Linked DNA regions of Saccharomyces cerevisiae S288C. The main gene of each other region encodes a partner of the protein of the gene in region 3 in a complex. Each region holds a gene or a part of one and is shown on either strand. Other genes may lie near its edges. The genes, in order: POL2, RFC5, CTF18 and DCC1. A codon is read from its position in the direction of its gene.

What was found.
Region 1: the proteins of CTF18 (region 3) and POL2 are in contact, whole or in part, in a cryo-EM structure (PDB 6S2F), measured with the Saccharomyces cerevisiae proteins. Residues at the interface, in NP_013795.1 of Saccharomyces cerevisiae: Lys717 (codon at 578), Trp719 (codon at 572), Val720 (codon at 569), Lys721 (codon at 566), Gly725 (codon at 554), Phe726 (codon at 551), Ser727 (codon at 548), Asn728 (codon at 545), Ala729 (codon at 542), Val730 (codon at 539), Arg731 (codon at 536), Lys732 (codon at 533), Asn733 (codon at 530); in NP_014137.1 of Saccharomyces cerevisiae: Glu333 (codon at 5,033), Asp334 (codon at 5,030), Phe335 (codon at 5,027), Glu336 (codon at 5,024), Tyr337 (codon at 5,021), Thr338 (codon at 5,018), Asn450 (codon at 4,682), Ile452 (codon at 4,676), Gln468 (codon at 4,628), Glu472 (codon at 4,616), Val475 (codon at 4,607), Glu1038 (codon at 2,918), Asp1039 (codon at 2,915), Glu1040 (codon at 2,912).
Region 2: the proteins of CTF18 (region 3) and RFC5 are in contact, whole or in part, in a cryo-EM structure (PDB 8TW7), measured with the Saccharomyces cerevisiae proteins. Residues at the interface, in NP_013795.1 of Saccharomyces cerevisiae: Asp433 (codon at 1,430), Leu436 (codon at 1,421), Phe440 (codon at 1,409), Pro444 (codon at 1,397), Tyr445 (codon at 1,394), Tyr448 (codon at 1,385), Asp450 (codon at 1,379), Gly452 (codon at 1,373), Ile453 (codon at 1,370), Arg454 (codon at 1,367), Pro456 (codon at 1,361), Ala457 (codon at 1,358), Ser460 (codon at 1,349), Asp461 (codon at 1,346), Leu463 (codon at 1,340), Phe464 (codon at 1,337), Asp467 (codon at 1,328), Gln471 (codon at 1,316), Ser509 (codon at 1,202), Glu510 (codon at 1,199), Gln513 (codon at 1,190), Leu516 (codon at 1,181), Asn520 (codon at 1,169), Ser521 (codon at 1,166), Val524 (codon at 1,157), Ser532 (codon at 1,133), Val533 (codon at 1,130), Pro536 (codon at 1,121), Leu537 (codon at 1,118), Met538 (codon at 1,115); in NP_009644.3 of Saccharomyces cerevisiae: Trp4 (codon at 1,930), Asp6 (codon at 1,936), Lys7 (codon at 1,939), Arg9 (codon at 1,945), Lys11 (codon at 1,951), Lys50 (codon at 2,068), Met54 (codon at 2,080), Tyr66 (codon at 2,116), Leu68 (codon at 2,122), Ile70 (codon at 2,128), Glu95 (codon at 2,203), Asn141 (codon at 2,341), Glu209 (codon at 2,545), Leu235 (codon at 2,623), Met236 (codon at 2,626), Glu238 (codon at 2,632), Ser239 (codon at 2,635), Leu242 (codon at 2,644), Glu245 (codon at 2,653), Leu246 (codon at 2,656), Ile255 (codon at 2,683), Lys256 (codon at 2,686), Pro257 (codon at 2,689), Asp258 (codon at 2,692), Trp259 (codon at 2,695), Val262 (codon at 2,704), Val276 (codon at 2,746), Leu279 (codon at 2,755), Ile280 (codon at 2,758), Tyr287 (codon at 2,779).
Region 4: the proteins of CTF18 (region 3) and DCC1 are in contact, whole or in part, in a crystal structure (PDB 5MSM), measured with the Saccharomyces cerevisiae proteins. Residues at the interface, in NP_013795.1 of Saccharomyces cerevisiae: Asn723 (codon at 560), Gly725 (codon at 554), Phe726 (codon at 551), Ser727 (codon at 548), Asn728 (codon at 545), Ala729 (codon at 542), Val730 (codon at 539), Arg731 (codon at 536), Lys732 (codon at 533), Asn733 (codon at 530), Val734 (codon at 527), Thr735 (codon at 524), Trp736 (codon at 521), Asn737 (codon at 518), Asn738 (codon at 515), Leu739 (codon at 512); in NP_009913.2 of Saccharomyces cerevisiae: Lys16 (codon at 1,602), Phe39 (codon at 1,533), Lys40 (codon at 1,530), Ser41 (codon at 1,527), Asp43 (codon at 1,521), Lys44 (codon at 1,518), Asp45 (codon at 1,515), Lys46 (codon at 1,512), Ser47 (codon at 1,509), Glu48 (codon at 1,506), Val49 (codon at 1,503), Leu60 (codon at 1,470), Lys61 (codon at 1,467), Gln62 (codon at 1,464), Arg63 (codon at 1,461), Lys64 (codon at 1,458), His65 (codon at 1,455), Ser66 (codon at 1,452), Asn67 (codon at 1,449), Phe108 (codon at 1,326), Glu109 (codon at 1,323), Arg111 (codon at 1,317).

Annotation. Positions count from the first base shown.
Region 1 is NC_001146.8:146,379-154,240, reverse strand, and holds the start of POL2 (DNA polymerase epsilon catalytic subunit), read right to left. Parts: upstream 6,030-7,862; coding exon 1-6,029. Other genes in the region: protein transporter YIF1, read left to right, coding at 6,401-7,345; PDR17 (phosphatidylinositol transporter), read left to right, coding at 7,626-7,862. UniProt on the Saccharomyces cerevisiae protein: Catalytic component of the DNA polymerase epsilon complex which participates in chromosomal DNA replication.
Region 2 is NC_001134.8:421,845-425,359, forward strand, and holds RFC5 (replication factor C subunit 5), read left to right. Parts: upstream 1-1,920; coding exon 1,921-2,985; downstream 2,986-3,515. Other genes in the region: IST2 (Ist2p), read right to left, coding at 1-1,197; POL30 (proliferating cell nuclear antigen), read right to left, coding at 3,146-3,515. UniProt on the Saccharomyces cerevisiae protein: Component of ATP-dependent clamp loader (RFC and RFC-like) complexes for DNA clamps, such as the POL30/PCNA homotrimer and the checkpoint clamp DDC1:MEC3:RAD17 complex.
Region 3 is NC_001145.3:422,003-426,366, forward strand, and holds CTF18 (Ctf18p), read right to left. Parts: upstream 2,727-4,364; coding exon 501-2,726; downstream 1-500. Other genes in the region: ESCRT-III subunit protein VPS20, read right to left, coding at 1-147; phosphatidylinositol/phosphatidylcholine transfer protein SEC14, read left to right, coding at 2,987-2,995, 3,152-4,057. UniProt on the Saccharomyces cerevisiae protein: Essential for the fidelity of chromosome transmission. Required for the DNA replication block checkpoint.
Region 4 is NC_001135.5:94,117-97,792, forward strand, and holds DCC1 (Dcc1p), read right to left. Parts: upstream 1,648-3,676; coding exon 505-1,647; downstream 1-504. Other genes in the region: NFS1 (cysteine desulfurase), read right to left, coding at 1-154; BUD3 (Bud3p), read left to right, coding at 2,165-3,676. UniProt on the Saccharomyces cerevisiae protein: Component of the RFC-like complex CTF18-RFC which is required for efficient establishment of chromosome cohesion during S-phase and may load or unload POL30/PCNA.

The DNA.
Region 1 (7,862 bases), on a different chromosome or scaffold from region 3:
GGTTTGGAAAAAAGGTGAGAAAATCCGTTCAACGAGTTTTCAACACTATCTTCCTTATCTTGTTTTTTTACATTAACTATTTGGGTAGGTCTTTGCGTCCCTGAATTCAATTTTAGATAGCTCTGCTTTGTCTTTAGCATACTATCCAATATGATCATCATCCAATCCTCAAATTCGGGCTGATATATTGGTGACAGAAACTTCTTTAGTTGCCATTGCGAAACAGCGGTATAATCCTGATTTTCCTTTTCCTCTATTTCAATACATGCTAATCCACTAAAATTAAACTTATCCATCCATATTAGCAGATCCCAATAACGTTTGATATTTAAGTCCAGATAACTAAACATTGGATTTGTTCTAACTGCCTTCATCATATATTGGCTGTAGGCGTAACAGTTTTCAGGTGAGTACTTGTTTGTCTTTATTAGAATTTGATTCCTGTCTGCATATACAATAGTTGAGCCAAGTGCACTAAATTCATTTACTAATTGAAGTAAGGCTTTTTTTGTTAAGTTATGAACGTGATATCTTAGTAATCCGTCGAATAGTTTCGCATTCGGGTTTTGAACCCAACTTGCCAGGGAATTTACCAACAAATCTGCGGTTGAATTTTCTTTTAGGGCCTCATCCCACCACTCCTTTAACATACCTCTTAAAACATTCAAAGCGTCATTAGAAAAGGCGTCGTGCACGAATTCAGATGGCGAGTTAATAACGGCATCTTTGTCATCTATACCCATATTATTGTTAACTAGATCACTGCCTTCAGCATCATTGATTAATGCTGATGTCAAAATTGTGTTCACTGTTAAATTATCAACACCAACATCGAGAACTACATTGTCATACACACCTGAGTTATTAATTTTGGGAAATTCTGAATCATTCATTATCCATGATGTATTTAAATCAAAATCATTTTGAATGCCTCCATGATCTGGAAGTGGAGCTTTCTCATTCCACCAAAGCACGATGTTCTCTTTTTTTAGTTTTCTTGCATAAAGAACATCAATAATATAATCCATACTATCCAGCCTCAAATTACAGATTGGAATGTTACTATACTGGGATAACTTGATCAAGTGAGAAATCCACGAACCACTGGATAAAACGTGGTTAACAAGTTTCTTCAATAATGTCGGTTGCCAGTTCAATTGGGGTAGAAGAACTTCATTCAAGGAAAGCTTAACAATGGGCATCTGGTTTAGAAGCCGGATTGTGCCTAAGAGCTTAGTGATAAACGGAGATTGTAACAAGAGTAAAAACTGCAGACCTCTTTCTTCTTTTAATTTAGTAGTTTCCTGTGATAGTCTTCTGTACAATTTTGAGATATCTGTAAAATATACAAACTCAAAATTGATATCTTCTTTAATATCAACCAAGTAAGAATATGTTTCTATTTTACCTTTCTTTTTTTCAAACATTTGTTTGTATATTTGTCCTAATGATGAGGCATTTATTTCCTGAGCCTGGTTGGATGGTTTCAAAACTAATATAGTAATAGTATCTCCCCATGACTTGAATAATGAAAAAAATTCATACCCAATTGATGTTGGGAAATGTAGTAAATAGCCAATGTCCATTGAAAATCCACTCAGATACCTTTCATTTTCCGCCATTGAAAGATCCTTCATTTCAAAACCCTGCTGTATTCCCTTGCCTAACGCACCCATTGCTTTTGAGCGGAACGTTACCGAAGCTCCCAAATCCATGATCGCTCTTTGATGAGGAGTGATAGTGCCCTCAAATACACCAAGTACATTTTCATCGTTGAAGATACTAGTGCAGTTTTCCTTTTCTTCCAGAAAGACAGATTCCGGTAGAGTAATTTTGAATAGCTGACCGCCTGCTGGATTAGACGTTTTGGGATTATTTGGTAACGATGCAGAAGATTTTTCAATAAGGCAATTCTTAATCTTTTGTAGCGGCATTGTTTGAGATTTGAATTTCATATAAATAGTTTTTGGTATATGGAAGGTGATGTTCTGGACTTTGCCATTAATTGTTACAAATACTTCCAAAACCCCTGGCTCACCGGAATCCTTGTATTGTAAGACCTCCCAAGTGGAGTTCGCATATGATTCAGCTTGCTTCCTAATCATACTTCCTAGTGCACTTCTTTCACGGGAGCTGTTTGTATTACCAAATAATTGGTCTCGACGCTTTCTATCTCTTGCTTGGATTTTCCATTTAATTTTTTGATAATTTAGCCACCCAACATAGTCCTCGTCCATGGAAGGAATCTCCGAGGGCAATACTAGTGGATCTTCTTCATTTGTAAGCTGATTTCTTTTCCTCTTGGATACGGCTTTCTTTTTAGTAGTTCTTGCAATTTTAATTTTGGCGTTATCTTCTTCTACAGTTGGTTCAAACAAATCCTCGATATCTTTTATCTTGCCCATTGTTGGTACATTCTTTGTCTTCGAAAAAAATTTGGTTAGTGAAGTCTGCTTAAACTTATCCTCCTTTGTAGCGATTTTTCTTTTTAGCCAATCTGGATGTTCAACCCTTGGAACAGGATTGGAAACCCCTTGTAATGCTGCTGGAATAGTAATTATCTTTTGTATAGCAGATCCAAGTCTTTCTCTATAATAACCCCAATCGATTATGGTTCTGATATCCAGATCTTCCAAAGATGGATCTAATGTCCATCGCCTCAGAAAAGACCTTTTGATGGGAATGTCCGCTGAAAATATTGCGACTGGAATGGCTCGTTCAGTAACAGGTGCATTGAAAGGTTTTGAACTAATAATATATTTACATTGTAGACCTTTATCTTTTACCATATCTTCACCCAAAAAATCCCCCAATCTCCTTGCCGTCGTAATAGAAGTAGATTTTTGCCCTTCATATTCCTTTAAAGTTTTTGACATACTTCTATTTTCACAAATCAAACTGACCAAGTCTTCATCTTCTAACATAAGACCATGTGAATCAAGAACATCTAACCAACGGTTACATACGCTTGCTACAGCACTGTAACATCCTTCTAATGTATCACCTTCCAAAAAGACCTTGAAAATATCACTTTGAAAATTTTTTATTAGTTGTAATTCACCACGCCTCTTCAATTCAAAACCTTTCAGTTCAGCAAGTGAGCCGTCTTCATTGAAGACAGCATATCTTTTCTTTATACCTTTTCCTTCTTCCTTGGAACTAGGCAAAATCATGGCCTTATATGGTCCGTCAACTTCGAAAAAAATCGTGTTTTCACTGTGCGTCTCATATATATAGTTCAATGGGTCTTTTAATTCTTGGTATTGGTGATTCGTAAACTTTTGGTGAACTCTGTAATTCAGCATGGAACATGGGTAGGAGAGATAAAGCTTTTTACCATTTTCTAATGTAAAAAAGTAAGTTTCAGGGAAAGATTTTGGTAAGATACACCAAATACCATCAGTATCTAATTCTAATGGTCTTCCTACCCTTTCTACTAAAGCTCTCGCCATTTGAATGATCGTGGCACCTGTTAAACACGTAATCCCCGCCATTTCCATGGAATACCAACGAGAGCCTTTCCTCATAACATACCCATAAAACGAATTCAAAATAACTTTGTGAGCTAATTGTAATGAGTCATAAAGCACAATCATCTTTTTGGCCTCGTCTCTCGCATGCTTATCAGATGGGTCAATTTTGGACAGATTTCCCTTCCAAGTCTTGGCTAAACCTTTGAATTCGTAACGCCTATCACGAAAGGATTTCACGGTATCGACGTAGAATGGATTTTCTCTTTGGCAGACAATGGCTTCTCGTTCGACAATTTCTGATACTTTAACCCTATGATAAACTTTCCTTGAATATTCAGTTAAACGTTTTTTTATGTGGATAACTTGGTCTGCGTAACTTAGTTCATCAAATGTCAAAACTTTCTTTTTAGAAAACTTGTTTTTGTTGGGAAAAGTCTCATTTTGTAATGCACGCTTGATCATGTTATACTCATCCATCTTACTGGGAAAGAATTCTCCTCTCCAAGCCCATTTTAACTTTCTTGCACAGGTTTTTCCGGGTCTATTAAAATCGCAACTAGCACAATCGCGCTCTGCTTTGATACTATCTGGTTGTAGTCTATTTGTAGTCATGATGTTTGGGTACATAGAGGCGACATCTACATGATAGATCAAAGGTAGTTCGTTTCTTATATTGTTTTCCTTCAACTCTAATAATTTCTGCGTTATCTGGTTTTTTATTTCCTCAAAATTCGTTACTTTATCTACACTGGACTTATTTTCAACTTCCACACTAAATTTCAAAGCTTCTGGTAATTCTTGTAATAATTCATCAATGGCAGAAGGATCTATCTTGAATTCATTCTTCAAATCACTCCTAAAAACACCAGCTTCTAATGACTCCACATGTCCACCCACGTAAGTCTCGGATTCTAGAAGATGTCCATCATAGAACCTCTCAATGGGATCTGTATGCTTATTTGGTAGAAGAATATTATGTTGATAAGCTTGAACCATCAACAACATTTCACACAAAGTACCGGTACCCTTTCTCAATGTTTCATCCGGGTTCAAAGGAATAATAGTACAAAGGGAAAAGATAAAAGGATGAACATATTTCATGTAAAGGTAATACGTAGCGACTGCATCGGAAACAGAATATTCGGAAAGGTGCTGTGGCTTTTCAAATGCATACGGCGTCATTAATTCGGGATCCAGTTCAATTGGGTTATAACCTAGCTTAGATTGAGTAACAGCTTTTAAACCCTGGGAACCTTGTGGTAAATAAGAATCACGCTTCACCCAACGGAAACAATCCATGTGAGAGCAGTATGAGGACTTGTACTCACCTTCAGCATCTGGAGCGAAACCAATTTCATCGAACATGTCCAAGCCGTGAATCTTACTTCTGTTATGTATAAAAGGCCAATCGAAAAAGTCACCATTGAAGGTGGATATAACAGTGGGTCGTACATCTCTTATATGTTCAAAAAACCTTTGTAGAAGCGCCACTTCATCGTTTTCGTTAAATATGGTGAAAAAACCAGGATACTCCGGTTTCGGTGTATACTCAAAGTCTTCAATATCCTCAGAGATTATCTCCCTATTTGTTATCAAAAAACCTTCCCCATCGATCATATACGAAATCATCATTATTTGATCTACGGCGGAATCCGGGAATTTTAAAGGCGGCTTCGTGGTTTCTATATCAAATGCCATTACCACAGGGTCGGCAAATGCAATTTTCCTAGTATCTTCAATGAATCCCTGTTGAGTTACCTTATACCATTTACCGACTCTAATGTCCTTGTCTATAGATACTCGGACATGATACGGCACATCATATTCCCTGATATCTTCGATCAGATGTTTGGCGTCAACTTTTTCCGAGCCATTTGCAGCAACGTTATATATATTTCTTTGCACATTATTATTGGCATTATCCTGCAAGATTGGCCTCAGGAGTTTCCTGGCCTCGAATAACTGATTGGAATTTACAAATGATAACTTAATAAGTGTCTTCTGCAGCCCTAAAAGGTGATTGTCCATGGTAAGATCTTCCTTTCTAATGATTTGTAAGCTTTTGAGACAAGATTCCAGATATTTTTTCACTAGTTCCTCCACATCATTTACTCTTGATTCATCGTTACACGCAATAAAGAAGTATGGGTCATAGACAACTGTCGACTTGAAGCTCCCACCCTCTTCATCTAAAAAGTAGAAGTCAACTCCGGAAATACCTTGGTTGGTCGTTACACGTTCTCCGTCATTCGAATTGCCGCCGCCATTACTACCACTGGATAAGGTTTCCTGAGAGACCAGCGTTGCGTGCATGTTCGTCAGCCACCCTACGCGGCCTGGAATCTGATCTATATCCTTCGCATCAAACCTGCCATTGTATTGCGGCGGTACGTATCTTTCAAATCCCATCATCGAATCGATGTCATCGATCTTACTAGCATTTAAGAGCTGTTGCGCGCTAAGCGCATAATTATTTGAGAGTGTGTTGTACTTGTTGCCAGCTGAATATCTTGCAGTGGAAGATCCTCCGTTGTTTTTTTTCTTGCCAAACATCATATACTTGTCCCCTGAGAGTGTTATCTTGATAGAATGTGCTCTTTCATCATCATATGCTCTTTTTGATAGGTCCTCTTCCAGTTAAAATGGTAAAAGATGCAAGAAACTTACGCGTTCTGGTTACCCTACCTGAAAATAAACCATTCTGACAATTCAAATGACAATAAACTTGGGCCTTTGACGAACACTGACAGTGTTACTATTACTTTTTCTCAGTGCTAAAACAGCATATCCGAGACTCTGTATCAAGATCCATATTGCACACCAGAGCTGTTGTTTTATACTACAACTCATCTTTTTGACTTTTCGATTGTAAGACCTCGCTACTGAGTATCAATAGCAGAAAACGAAAACCAAAGGCCCATACCAAGATGTCTTATAATCCGTACGCATATGCAACAAGTGAGCAGAATGGCGTTAACGATCGCTTTTCCCACACTCCACAACAGCAACGACCAATGCAAATTCCGAGGAACACGCCCGTGAATGGCCAAGGTAATGCGAATATGAATGCAAACGTAAATGGCAGTGGCGGTGGTTTTCCATTCCAAGATCCTCGTGGTTCGATGGCATTCCAACTAGGGCAGAGCGCATTTTCTAATTTTATTGGTCAGGATAACTTTAACCAGTTTCAAGAAACGGTCAATAAAGCCACTGCAAACGCTGCCGGCTCTCAACAAATTTCAACGTATTTTCAAGTCAGCACCCGTTATGTCATCAATAAATTGAAACTCATCCTAGTTCCTTTTCTTAACGGAACCAAGAACTGGCAACGAATTATGGACTCTGGCAACTTTTTGCCACCAAGGGATGACGTGAACTCCCCAGACATGTACATGCCTATTATGGGACTAGTTACCTATATTCTCATCTGGAATACGCAGCAAGGTCTGAAGGGTTCATTCAACCCCGAAGACTTGTACTACAAACTGTCTTCTACTCTGGCGTTTGTGTGTTTAGATTTGTTGATTTTGAAGCTTGGCTTGTATCTTTTGATCGATTCTAAGATTCCAAGCTTCAGTTTGGTCGAACTGTTGTGCTATGTCGGCTACAAATTTGTTCCATTGATTCTCGCCCAGCTTTTGACCAACGTGACCATGCCATTTAACCTGAATATTTTGATAAAATTTTACTTATTTATTGCCTTTGGCGTATTCCTACTAAGATCCGTCAAGTTCAATTTACTAAGCCGCTCCGGTGCTGAAGACGATGATATACACGTTTCCATCAGCAAATCGACCGTCAAGAAGTGCAATTACTTCCTATTCGTCTATGGCTTCATTTGGCAAAATGTTCTAATGTGGTTAATGGGTTGATCTTGATTGAAGAGATCAAAGAGAGGATTTAATTTCATGCGCATTATTATTATCTACGGTCAATTTGTTAAATACTTATATACTTTTATTCCTACGTCATAAATTTTCTATTTACTTTTCTTATTTTTCCTTTCACTCAATATGGAGTGGAAAGAGAACAATAGAGGGATTAAAATTCGTGGGAAAAATCACGCTTTTTAGATAGATTTAATTTACATCATTGTTTAAAAAAAAAGACCCTGAAAAATCACACAAAGAAAGCACAAGAAGAAGAACAAAAATGGGTCTTTTTTCAAGAAAACGGGACCATACGCCTGCTGTGCCTAAAGAGAAACTTATTCCATGTGATAAGATATTCTTGGACCCTCCTGCCAAGTATGGTAACGCACCTCTACTGGAACCCATCTCCGAAGATCAAAACGAAAAATATAGAGCTGTCTTACGACATTTTCAAGATGATGATCTGAAATTACCAGAAAATCTCAATGACCTTGACAATGGGACACATGCCAATGAC
Region 2 (3,515 bases), on a different chromosome or scaffold from region 3:
GTTAGGATTTGGTCCATTAATTTTCTGCTGAGCAATGCTAACAAGGCTTGGAACAAAGTTTTCCATGCTAAATTGAATCAGTTGGTTGATAACAATAAAGTAGAAAAATTGATCTTCATAGCGCTTTGTATCAATAATAAAATCTGAATCATGGGTAGGTAAACGGGCCAATATTGAAAAGGCATTGAAAACCTTAGTTCTTATTTCTGCGGTCAACAAATGCCCCATTGGCAGATAAAGAAATAGTGTAATTAATAGGGGAACGTAACTGGATAGAAAAATAATAACAAAGTTCTTAGCTTCTTTAGATTTCTTTGCATTCACAACACTGCTATGATTTTCCCACTTTGTCATTGGTTCTACGAAATATTTGTTGTAAATCACAGTTAAAACCGGAGTAAACGTGCAAATAAGTATAGTAGGCAAAAAAGACAAGATGGAAATCATTGGGCCGTTATAAATTTGCTTGATGAAAATTTCCAACGCAAAACAATATAGCTGGAATGATAGTAATATTGCGCCAAACAACAAAGCCACAGGAATAAAACAACATTTCTTCAACATGATAACCGAACTAGCTTTTTTTTGGGCTTTCTGTTTATCTTGAAGAAACTCAATGGTAGAAAATGATGAGTATTTACTCAGTCTATCAGACCAAAATGGTTCATATTTATAAAGCCAAAAGGCTGTAAATGACAATGTCCATAGGATGGCGAACAGCGAGTATGTGGAATTGAATTCATACGTAAAATTAGATAAAAATCTAATTGATAATCCAAAAAAGGAGAAGGGAATCAACCATTTTATATAGTTCTGTAAGAATGCAAAATATAAGGATTGTTTGGGATTATTGGTCAAATTCGATAGGTTGTACAACTCATACTGTTTTGGAGCCTCCAGTATTTTTGATTTGCTGATAGAAATCAGTTTATGCAAATCATCGGACAATTCAGTATCATGATATGGTATGATGGATTCAATGAAGTCCAGATTCTGCAAAAATGAAAAAAGCGGTTTCGCATTATCCTGATGGATTCTAATAAACGCATAGCTTGTTTGCAGATCATGGCCAGGTTCGATAATAGAATGTATATTCAAACGTTTGAATTCGACATTCAAACTCTTCTCGTTTGCACTCGAAGTTTTATTGAATACAATAACACAATTCGGATCTAGAGATGTAATTGTCTGCGACATAGTATGCTCAACCGCTTGTGCTTGTTTTAATCTTTTTCAAATGTATTTGACAAATTAGCCATAAATCGACCGAAACAGTATTCACCTTCAAAAATGTTAATGATGGTGAGAACGGTTATTGGAGCGACTGTTCAAATATCTTTTCCAGCCCCCTATTTCCAGCTTCCCTTATAGAAATAATTGCAACGGGGAAAAAAGGGATATTTCTTAATGAAGTCAATAATAGCTGCAAAAAGAAAACTATTTTTCAGTTGAAAAATATGGAAAGTGCTTATTTATCAGAAAGCTTTTACAGTCTTTCACACTGATGTAGTGGTGGAATCTTTTTGTTTTGAAAACAACAGAGAAAAAAAAAAGATAAAAAAAAGTGCCCTTGTTTGTTTTCGTCCCTAGAAGGAAAAAAAAAGAGAAGTTTCTCGCAGAGTGAAAAAAAATGTCAAGAAAAGATCCTACAAGAACAAATTATGCGCAATAATATGCTTCGTGCTGTTTTAGGATCTTGGAGTCAGAAATAAAATAGTTTTGTAAATTTATGTAAGATGCTGTAGTCAAATTTATGTATCGAGTCTATGCATATGTACACCGTGTTGAGGAATCTTTTCTAGAAGCACTGCGGTGTCGCCTCTTGAATATTTTAACGCGATTTTTTATTCCTTGGAACATAAAATAGACTTTTCATTTGTATGATGGTTCATGGAAATTATAGATTAGTACAGCACAAACATGTCATTGTGGGTAGATAAATACAGACCTAAGTCCTTGAATGCTCTTTCACATAATGAAGAGTTGACAAATTTTCTAAAATCGTTATCTGATCAGCCTCGTGATTTACCTCATCTTTTACTGTATGGACCAAATGGTACAGGTAAGAAAACGCGTTGTATGGCATTATTGGAGTCCATATTTGGACCTGGAGTCTATAGATTGAAAATTGATGTCAGACAATTTGTCACTGCTTCGAACAGAAAACTAGAACTGAATGTGGTCAGCTCGCCATACCATTTAGAGATCACGCCAAGTGATATGGGTAACAATGATAGAATTGTCATCCAAGAACTATTGAAAGAAGTGGCTCAAATGGAACAAGTGGACTTTCAAGATTCTAAGGATGGACTTGCCCATAGATATAAGTGTGTTATTATCAACGAGGCGAACTCGTTAACAAAAGATGCTCAAGCTGCTTTAAGACGTACCATGGAAAAATACTCCAAAAACATTAGGTTGATAATGGTCTGCGATTCGATGTCGCCTATAATTGCTCCTATCAAATCCCGTTGTCTGTTGATTCGTTGTCCTGCACCAAGCGATAGCGAAATTTCAACTATCTTGTCTGATGTGGTGACAAATGAAAGAATACAACTAGAAACAAAGGATATTTTAAAAAGAATTGCTCAGGCATCGAATGGAAACTTGCGAGTCTCCCTATTAATGCTTGAATCTATGGCACTGAACAACGAATTAGCATTGAAAAGCAGTAGCCCTATAATAAAACCAGATTGGATTATAGTGATCCATAAATTAACGAGGAAAATCGTTAAAGAGAGATCTGTCAATTCTTTAATCGAATGCAGAGCTGTCCTATACGATTTACTAGCTCATTGTATACCTGCCAATATCATCTTAAAGGAACTAACGTTTTCTTTGTTGGATGTGGAAACCCTGAATACCACGAATAAATCGTCCATAATTGAATACTCAAGTGTTTTTGACGAAAGATTATCACTTGGAAACAAAGCAATATTCCATTTGGAAGGGTTCATAGCAAAAGTTATGTGCTGTCTAGATTAATGTAAGATATGTCATAAATACTGTATAAGTCACACAAAAAGCTGATATTTAACGCATCTTAGTCTTTATTTTCTTTGTTATTTATTTTCATTTAAAACAAACTTTACTGTTTTTTTTTTGTTTATTATTTTTAGTATACAACTATATAGATAATTTACATTTATTCTTCGTCATTAAATTTAGGAGCCAAGAAAAACTGTAGGAACCCACTCTTCAAATCAAATTGGAATAAAGCAGGAGCTTCGCTGGAGAGCCTGATACCAACTCTATCAGAAAGGGAGGAGCCCTTAATGATGTCCAATAAATATTTAGCTCCGAACGTCAAGTCGACAGGTTGATCCATTTCAAGTTTGATGCTTGTTTCAGGATGTTCCATATCCACGAATGGTTTTATTATGACTGAACCTGATCCGATATCACCGTCAGCTACAAACTTTATTGTTTCTTTGGTGATCATGATATTAATAGAATCACTCAATTGGGACAAGTCACGAACAATTTTAGAGAATTCGGAAGATGGCAATGACAGG
Region 3 (4,364 bases):
TATTAGGTCTTTTAGTTGACTCTTCTCTACCAAAATCAAATTATCTGTCCTCCTCGTAAACTTATGAATTTCATCTTTAGATCGTTTTACTTCTAGGATCGCCCTATCTGTTTTGGTTATATGCACTTTACTACTTTTTTGGCCCATTCGATATATACAAAAGCACCAAGTGGAGTTAATTCAGCAGTCTGTACTATTTTTCCAAACTATCTATGTTTTGTTCTTTTCTATGCGCTATATTGTATCCCACAGATAGTAATTCGATTTTCGGTCTTTCTGCTCTTCGGGGTTCCATTTATGTAGAAATAAGAACGATAGCGAAGAGGGTAAAAGATCACGAATAAAAAACGAACGCTGCGTGACAAAATCGGAGCTGTTGCGACTACCGGCAGGATTGATTGCTAATGTTCTTTATTTACTTCTTTTAGATTTCTATGTAAGCTGCTGGTCCATATACAAGTATGCTTCTTAAGAGAGACTGCGTATATATCTTACGTCATTTATTCCCACAGGTTATTCCAAGTCACATTTTTCCTGACAGCGTTAGAGAACCCCTCATTGTATTTCACCCATATTTTAACCGTTTGATTGCAGTCATCTGCTTGGTTGGTTTCGTCTGATCCAATAGTTTTTTGTGTCTCTTCCAATTCCTGAGTTTGCTTCAATAATCCGTACTGATTCTTGAAAAAGTCGATTGTACTTGAGGAAGAATTTAACCCAGTTTTGACTTTTTTGCTATGCATTTCCTGTGACTGTAGTCTATCCTCAGTCACTTGGTCTATATGCCTTTTCTTGGCCCGGTTTTCCTCAATCTTTGCTAACAGTGAACTCAAATTATTAGCCCGTTTATGTTGGACTTCGTTAATATGTTTAGGATTTAACAATACGACTTCATCGATTGGGGGATCGATTGTTAGGCCACCCCTTACATCAAATCCTTCTGACCGATTTTGGATTAGATTCAGTTGAAAGCTTTTCAGCAATTGAACTAATTCCTCCATGATGGCTTGTTTGAGTTTCAGGTTCCTTATTTTATTAAAATCGGAAGAGATCATCGAATCTAGATATGGTAGTATTTCAAAGATTAACGATTTTCTATCCGTAAAACTTGCCATTAGTGGGGACTGAACCGAGATATGTCTCATAATCAGACTAACTATATCTGAATTGGCTCGTTTTAATTCACGTTGTTCGTATTCACTATTCTTCATTCTAATATCATCTTTGTTTGCGATATCGCCAAACGTTTGGAAGAAGACTAGGGGCACAAGGGCGGAGTAACGTAACAATTCGCCATTATGCGCATACATTGATTGGTACATTAAATCATGGAAAAATAGCCAATCTGAAATGTTTGCTGGCTTTCTTATACCATTGTCGGAATATTTTACGTAGGGAAATATATTAAAACAGCCTTGCAATATCCTGTCAGAGTTACCATTAAGCTCTACTTGGTTTAGCAATTCATAAAACTGCTCCTTTATATCACGATGTGGATCCTTTCTAAACAATTGGTTCACGATTTTAAACCATGATATGGGGGAGTCCTTGTTGGATGACGCCCACGTATTTTTTGCACAAGCAGGTTTATCTGATGCAGAGGAATCTCTTGAATCAACATTCGAGGCCAAGAATTGTAAATTGTTTATACAATTCCTTACGTCACCTTGAGCCAAATCAATTAAGTCATTGATTGCTTTTATAGGAATATTCATGTTTTCTTTATGGCAGATAAGGTTCAATCGCTCTAGTAGGGTAGTATCGGAAGGTCTTTTCACAGCAATAATTTCACAGAATGGTTTCAGCTTTTCCAAAGAAGGAGCATATAGATTATTGCAAATACAAATAATAGGTCGCGTAAGCAATTTAGACCTTTTCTTTTTGCGCTTTTTGTCCTTTTTATCTGGTTGACCGTATAATAGTTTATTAGTGGCTTTAATATCGCTTTGCATAATGTCAACTAAAATTCTAATAAATCCACTCTCAATACTTCCATCAATCTCATCCGCCACTAAGCACACAGGATTTGTATCGAAAGTATGATTGAATAAAAGATTATATATTTTCTCTTTTACCATAGGTCCAGCCCTTTCATCACTTGCATTGATTTCTGAGACAGAAAACCCTGATTGTTTGGCAATAACGTGAGCTACTGAGGTTTTGCCTATTCCTGGTGGCCCGTGCAGTAGTAAAATTTTCTTTGGTGGCCTTTTCAATGGATCGAGTTCCATATCACTGACCTCTTTTTCGGTTGGCAATTTGGGTAATTGCTCTTTAAACACAGCCGGCGTCCATTGTCTCAACCAACCTAACATTCTCCTGTTTGTCTTTTCATTACCAACCAAATCTAGAAATTTTTTAGGACGCCATTTCTCTACCCAGAGTGTGTCGCTACCTATCTTGCCAGTTATAGGTGAAGTCTTTTGTGCGTTAGTGCGGTCATCGCCAGATGCCTCAATTTTGTCTAACAAATAGTTTATATTGATGCCGTACGTGTCGTCTGATCTCCAAACAGTATCTGGGTTAGTGTATAGACTAATATTCCCGGTTGCTAACTTCGCAGGCTTCTTCTTTAATTGAACCGTTTCGCCAGTACTTGATACAAACGCGTGAATATCTTCCTCATTAATACCAATTGCATTATTACCAGGGGCTTGTTCTATATCACCAGTATCAAAAAGGGAACTTCTCCCTAGTGAACCAATGTATGGTGCGGTATCAACCATGATCCCTGACCTTACATCCACCTTTTGGGTCAAATAGTGTACACATTAGGAATAAAATATATGAAATCATGTTTATTTACGTGTTAGATGTTCCGTACAACGCGACTGGCTAGTTCGTTTTTTCCACATTTTTTTTTTCAACGTTGATCAACAATAAAATGGTACATCTTCCTTTGTTTGTGTCTTAAGTGTCCTTTCCTGGTATATCGCTTGACCAGCGCCTGTAGCATCAAACCAAACCTTCATCGCCCTAAAACACAATGGTTACAGTATGTTGTTGCTTTTATTTACTTTTTCTTTTTTTGACATTCATTGTGACAATATTCACATTCTTCAGATAGTTCTGTCTATATGAAGCAAAAATGATATATCAATAAGTTTACTAACAAACACAAGTGGTATTACTATGACTTCACTTTAAATAGCAACAAGAAAAGGAATTTTTAGAATCCTACCCTCAAAACTGTCCTCCAGATGCCTTGCCTGGTACTCCAGGAAATTTAGACAGCGCTCAAGAGAAGGCATTGGCAGAACTAAGAAAACTTTTGGAAGACGCTGGTTTCATTGAACGTTTAGACGATTCAACTTTACTACGTTTTTTGAGAGCCAGAAAATTTGATGTTCAATTGGCTAAAGAAATGTTTGAAAACTGCGAAAAATGGAGGAAGGATTATGGTACCGACACTATCTTGCAAGATTTTCATTATGATGAAAAACCATTGATTGCCAAATTCTACCCACAATATTATCATAAAACCGATAAAGATGGCCGCCCAGTATATTTTGAAGAATTAGGTGCTGTTAACTTACATGAAATGAACAAGGTTACCTCTGAAGAGAGGATGTTGAAAAACTTGGTTTGGGAATACGAATCTGTCGTTCAATACAGATTACCTGCCTGTTCAAGAGCTGCTGGTCACCTAGTGGAAACTTCATGTACAATTATGGATTTGAAAGGTATCTCCATATCTAGTGCATACAGTGTTATGTCATATGTTAGGGAAGCCTCCTACATAAGTCAAAACTATTACCCCGAACGTATGGGTAAATTTTACATCATCAACGCGCCATTCGGTTTCTCTACCGCATTTAGGCTATTTAAACCTTTCTTGGATCCAGTCACTGTTTCAAAGATTTTTATCTTGGGTTCTTCTTACCAGAAGGAATTATTAAAGCAAATTCCAGCTGAAAACTTACCAGTCAAATTTGGCGGTAAGTCTGAAGTTGATGAATCCAAGGGTGGGTTATACCTATCCGATATCGGTCCATGGAGGGATCCAAAGTATATTGGACCGGAAGGTGAAGCTCCGGAAGCCTTTTCGATGAAATGATATTATTTTTAAAGACATTTTTTTTTCGAGAGAGAAAAGAGGAGTTCTAAGTAACGATATTTTACAACTGAGATAAGTACAAGTATGCTTATTTACTCTATTCTACTTTTTTGAATAGGCATAGTTCACACTTTTATCTCCTTAGTTTGTACTACTCTTTTTTTATTTTTTTTTTTTCTTCCACTCAGCTATTAGATTATTTATTATTTTATTATCTGTGGTATCATTTTCTACAGCCATACCTTGATTTTAGTTTATTTTGTTGGCAGTTATATACATTTATCTTATAGAATACATATGCACGTAT
Region 4 (3,676 bases), on a different chromosome or scaffold from region 3:
GCGTTTCCAGAGAGAAGTTGTCGTCTAACTTCACGCCTGCTGCAGGAGGGGAATAGAATCTCCTGCTTACCAAACAAGCCCTATATGTGGCCGCTGGAACGTTGTAAACTTGAGATAATCTTGTTATCGATCTTGTAGCAGTTGATTTCAACATCTTCCAGTTGTAGCAGTTCCTTCGTGTATGCGATATATTTTAATGAAAATGATGTATCTGAAATAGAAAATATAACACACTAATGAACTCTGTCGGTCTTTACTCTGAGTGAGTTACTTAGATAGTCATCATATATCCCTGGGCGATGGCCTTACTATTTGTCAGCGACCGTATCTAAAATTGGTAGGTCACTATCAACTATTGCGGGTAATAGGGTGCATAATAGTATTGTAATATATATAAATATATAAAGCTACTATGATAGATATTTGTTGCTATTCACGTCATCCACTATTACTTTAGTGGTTCCGCTATATATTCGCATTGCCCATCGAAGGCAGTTTTGTGTGCTACCTGCTCGTGACCACGGTCTTTTTGCCCAGTCTTTTACGGCGGGCATACTTCATGATGAAACTGTCTATTTTCATACCTCTTGAATTTAGTTCTTCAATTAGAGGCTTGATATCCTCCAAGTCCCACTGTGACTGTAGCCTAAACAGGACTTTAAACCGTTCTTTGGGGTCCATTGGTAGTGTGCTTTTCGCTATATACTGGACAGTCTTATCGGTAGGCTTGAAATGATAGCCTCGCAGCATGTCAATGTCAATGTCACATGGGAAGAAAGGTGGGAAAAGGGACTTCCACTTGATGAGGAACTCATCAATTGGCATGCTTATTCCAGAAACATATTTCCTTAGCGCTTGAATCCCGTACCACTGAGCTATAAACGGTATTCTCAAGCGCCACGTATTGTTTTCAGCCTCTTGCTCTTGAACAGCAAATTTATTCAGCACTGTTTCAATGATTTCTCTTGTGTATGGATTGAACTCGTCCTCAATGTCCTTCCCCACAGCGTGATGTGTATCCTCAACATTCAGATGCTGTAGATCGAGTGATTCTGCCATTGCGCTCATCAGTAGTACATGCAGTGCTTTGAAAAGGAAGTCTTGTGAAAGAATACACAACACACCGTCTTTCACAGATCCACCAATCTTATGCCATTTTGATATACCTTCTAGCGCAGAACATGGTGAGTTCTCAAGTAGTTCTTCCAGGGTCCCGATAACCTTTGTAGATGACCTCTTCATGATTTTGTCGGAGAAATCCAGTTCTCCGTTGTATATTGGTACTGAATTCAAGTTCAATTCGCCATGTGTCTCTCTGGTCTCAAATTCTGATTCAGTCTTGGCGAATCCCACGACGTCCATGTACGGCTTGGACAGTCCAAACAAGAGCGTTTCGTCGAAAGTAATAGGTTGTTCAGGAACAAATTCTCTCATTAGTAGAACTGTGTTTGAATGTTTGCGCTGCTTCAGCACCCAAGTCTTGTCGTGCGAACACAGTACAACTTCAGACTTGTCTTTGTCCAATGACTTAAACCTTAACTGGTGATTTTGAACCGGATCCTGTATTATATCCAGTAACTCTGGTGTCAACTGGATCAGCTTATAAGATGGATCATACTCGGGTGCGGAATGTAGGTTGATGGACATGGTACAGGATTATTAGTGAGCAAATCTCTGGTGGATTTTTACCGTTCATCTCATAGTGCTTTTTTAGTTTATTTTTCACTTTTTTCTGGTTATACTATACGCTGCCTACTGAAGCAATAAGCAAGAAACACAACAGTATAAAGGGACAAAGATAATAAACCGCCTACTACTAAATAATATCGCTGTGGTATGCTACTCCTAGAGATTTCGATCACCATCGTGGTGCTCTTTGTCATACGCATAGAATTGACAAAAAAGAACCCTAAGCTATAAATTAGGTCATGTTGAGCGATTGCCAGTTGCCAAGACCTAGGGTTTTGTTCGAACAATTCTAAAAAGGTAAATAAAAACAATGGTAAACAAAGGCTTTGATCTTCAATGAGGAAGATTTCTCTCACTGCGGATAGTAAAAACAACACTAGTTTGTCTGTACTCGCATTCTACTGCTGCTACCTGCTACTCATTACGTGTTCGGGCTGTTATCTGGTTGCTAAAAGAGTATATTTACACCTCACCAATGGAGAAAGACCTGTCGTCTCTTTACTCTGAAAAGAAAGACAAAGAGAACGATGAAACCTTATTTAACATCAAACTATCCAAATCTGTTGTCGAGACCACACCGCTAAATGGTCATTCATTGTTTGATGATGATAAATCACTTTCAGACTGGACGGATAATGTGTTCACTCAATCAGTATTCTATCACGGGTCAGATGACTTGATATGGGGGAAGTTCTTTGTCTGCGTGTACAAGTCCCCCAACAGCAATAAGTTGAACGCTATAATATTCGACAAATTAGGAACATCATGCTTCGAATCCGTCGATATATCTTCCAACTCGCAATACTATCCGGCCATTGAGAATTTGAGTCCAAGTGATCAGGAAAGCAATGTTAAGAAATGCATTGCTGTCATTCTGTTACAGCGCTATCCATTACTTTCACCATCAGACTTATCACAAATATTGTCCAATAAATCGGAAAATTGCGACTATGACCCCCCTTATGCTGGAGATTTGGCTAGTAGTTGCCAGTTGATAACAGCAGTTCCTCCAGAAGATCTGGGGAAGCGCTTCTTTACATCAGGACTTCTGCAAAATAGATTTGTCAGCTCTACCCTGTTAGATGTTATTTATGAAAACAATGAATCCACCATCGAACTAAATAATAGGTTGGTATTCCATCTGGGTGAACAACTTGAACAACTTTTTAACCCAGTCACAGAATACTCACCGGAACAGACAGAATATGGTTATAAGGCGCCAGAGGACGAATTACCCACAGAATCGGATGATGATCTTGTCAAGGCCATTTGCAACGAGTTATTACAACTACAAACAAATTTTACTTTCAATTTGGTAGAATTTTTGCAAAAATTCCTGATCGCCTTGAGAGTCAGAGTACTCAATGAAGAAATTAATGGGTTATCCACAACCAAATTAAATCGACTCTTCCCACCTACAATAGATGAAGTCACAAGAATCAATTGTATTTTTCTAGACTCGCTAAAGACAGCAATCCCTTACGGTTCCCTCGAAGTACTGAAGGCATGCAGCATTACTATTCCTTATTTCTACAAAGCATATACAAGACACGAGGCGGCCACAAAGAACTTCAGCAAAGATATTAAATTGTTTATTAGGCATTTCAGCAATGTAATTCCAGAAAGAGAGGTCTACACGGAAATGAAAATCGAGAGTATAATTAAGGGACCTCAGGAAAAACTACTGAAGCTAAAGTTAATTATAGAGAGATTGTGGAAGTCGAAAAAATGGAGACCGAAAAATCAAGAAATGGCAAAAAAATGCTACAACAATATCATTGATGTCATTGATTCGTTTGGAAAATTAGATTCCCCACTTCATTCTTATAGTACCAGAGTATTTACTCCATCGGGAAAAATCCTTACAGAATTAGCCAAATGCTGGCCCGTAGAACTGCAATACAAATGGCTGAAGAGAAGGGTAGTCGGTGTGTATGATGTAGTGGATTTGAATGATGAAAATAAGAGAAATTTATTAGTCATATTC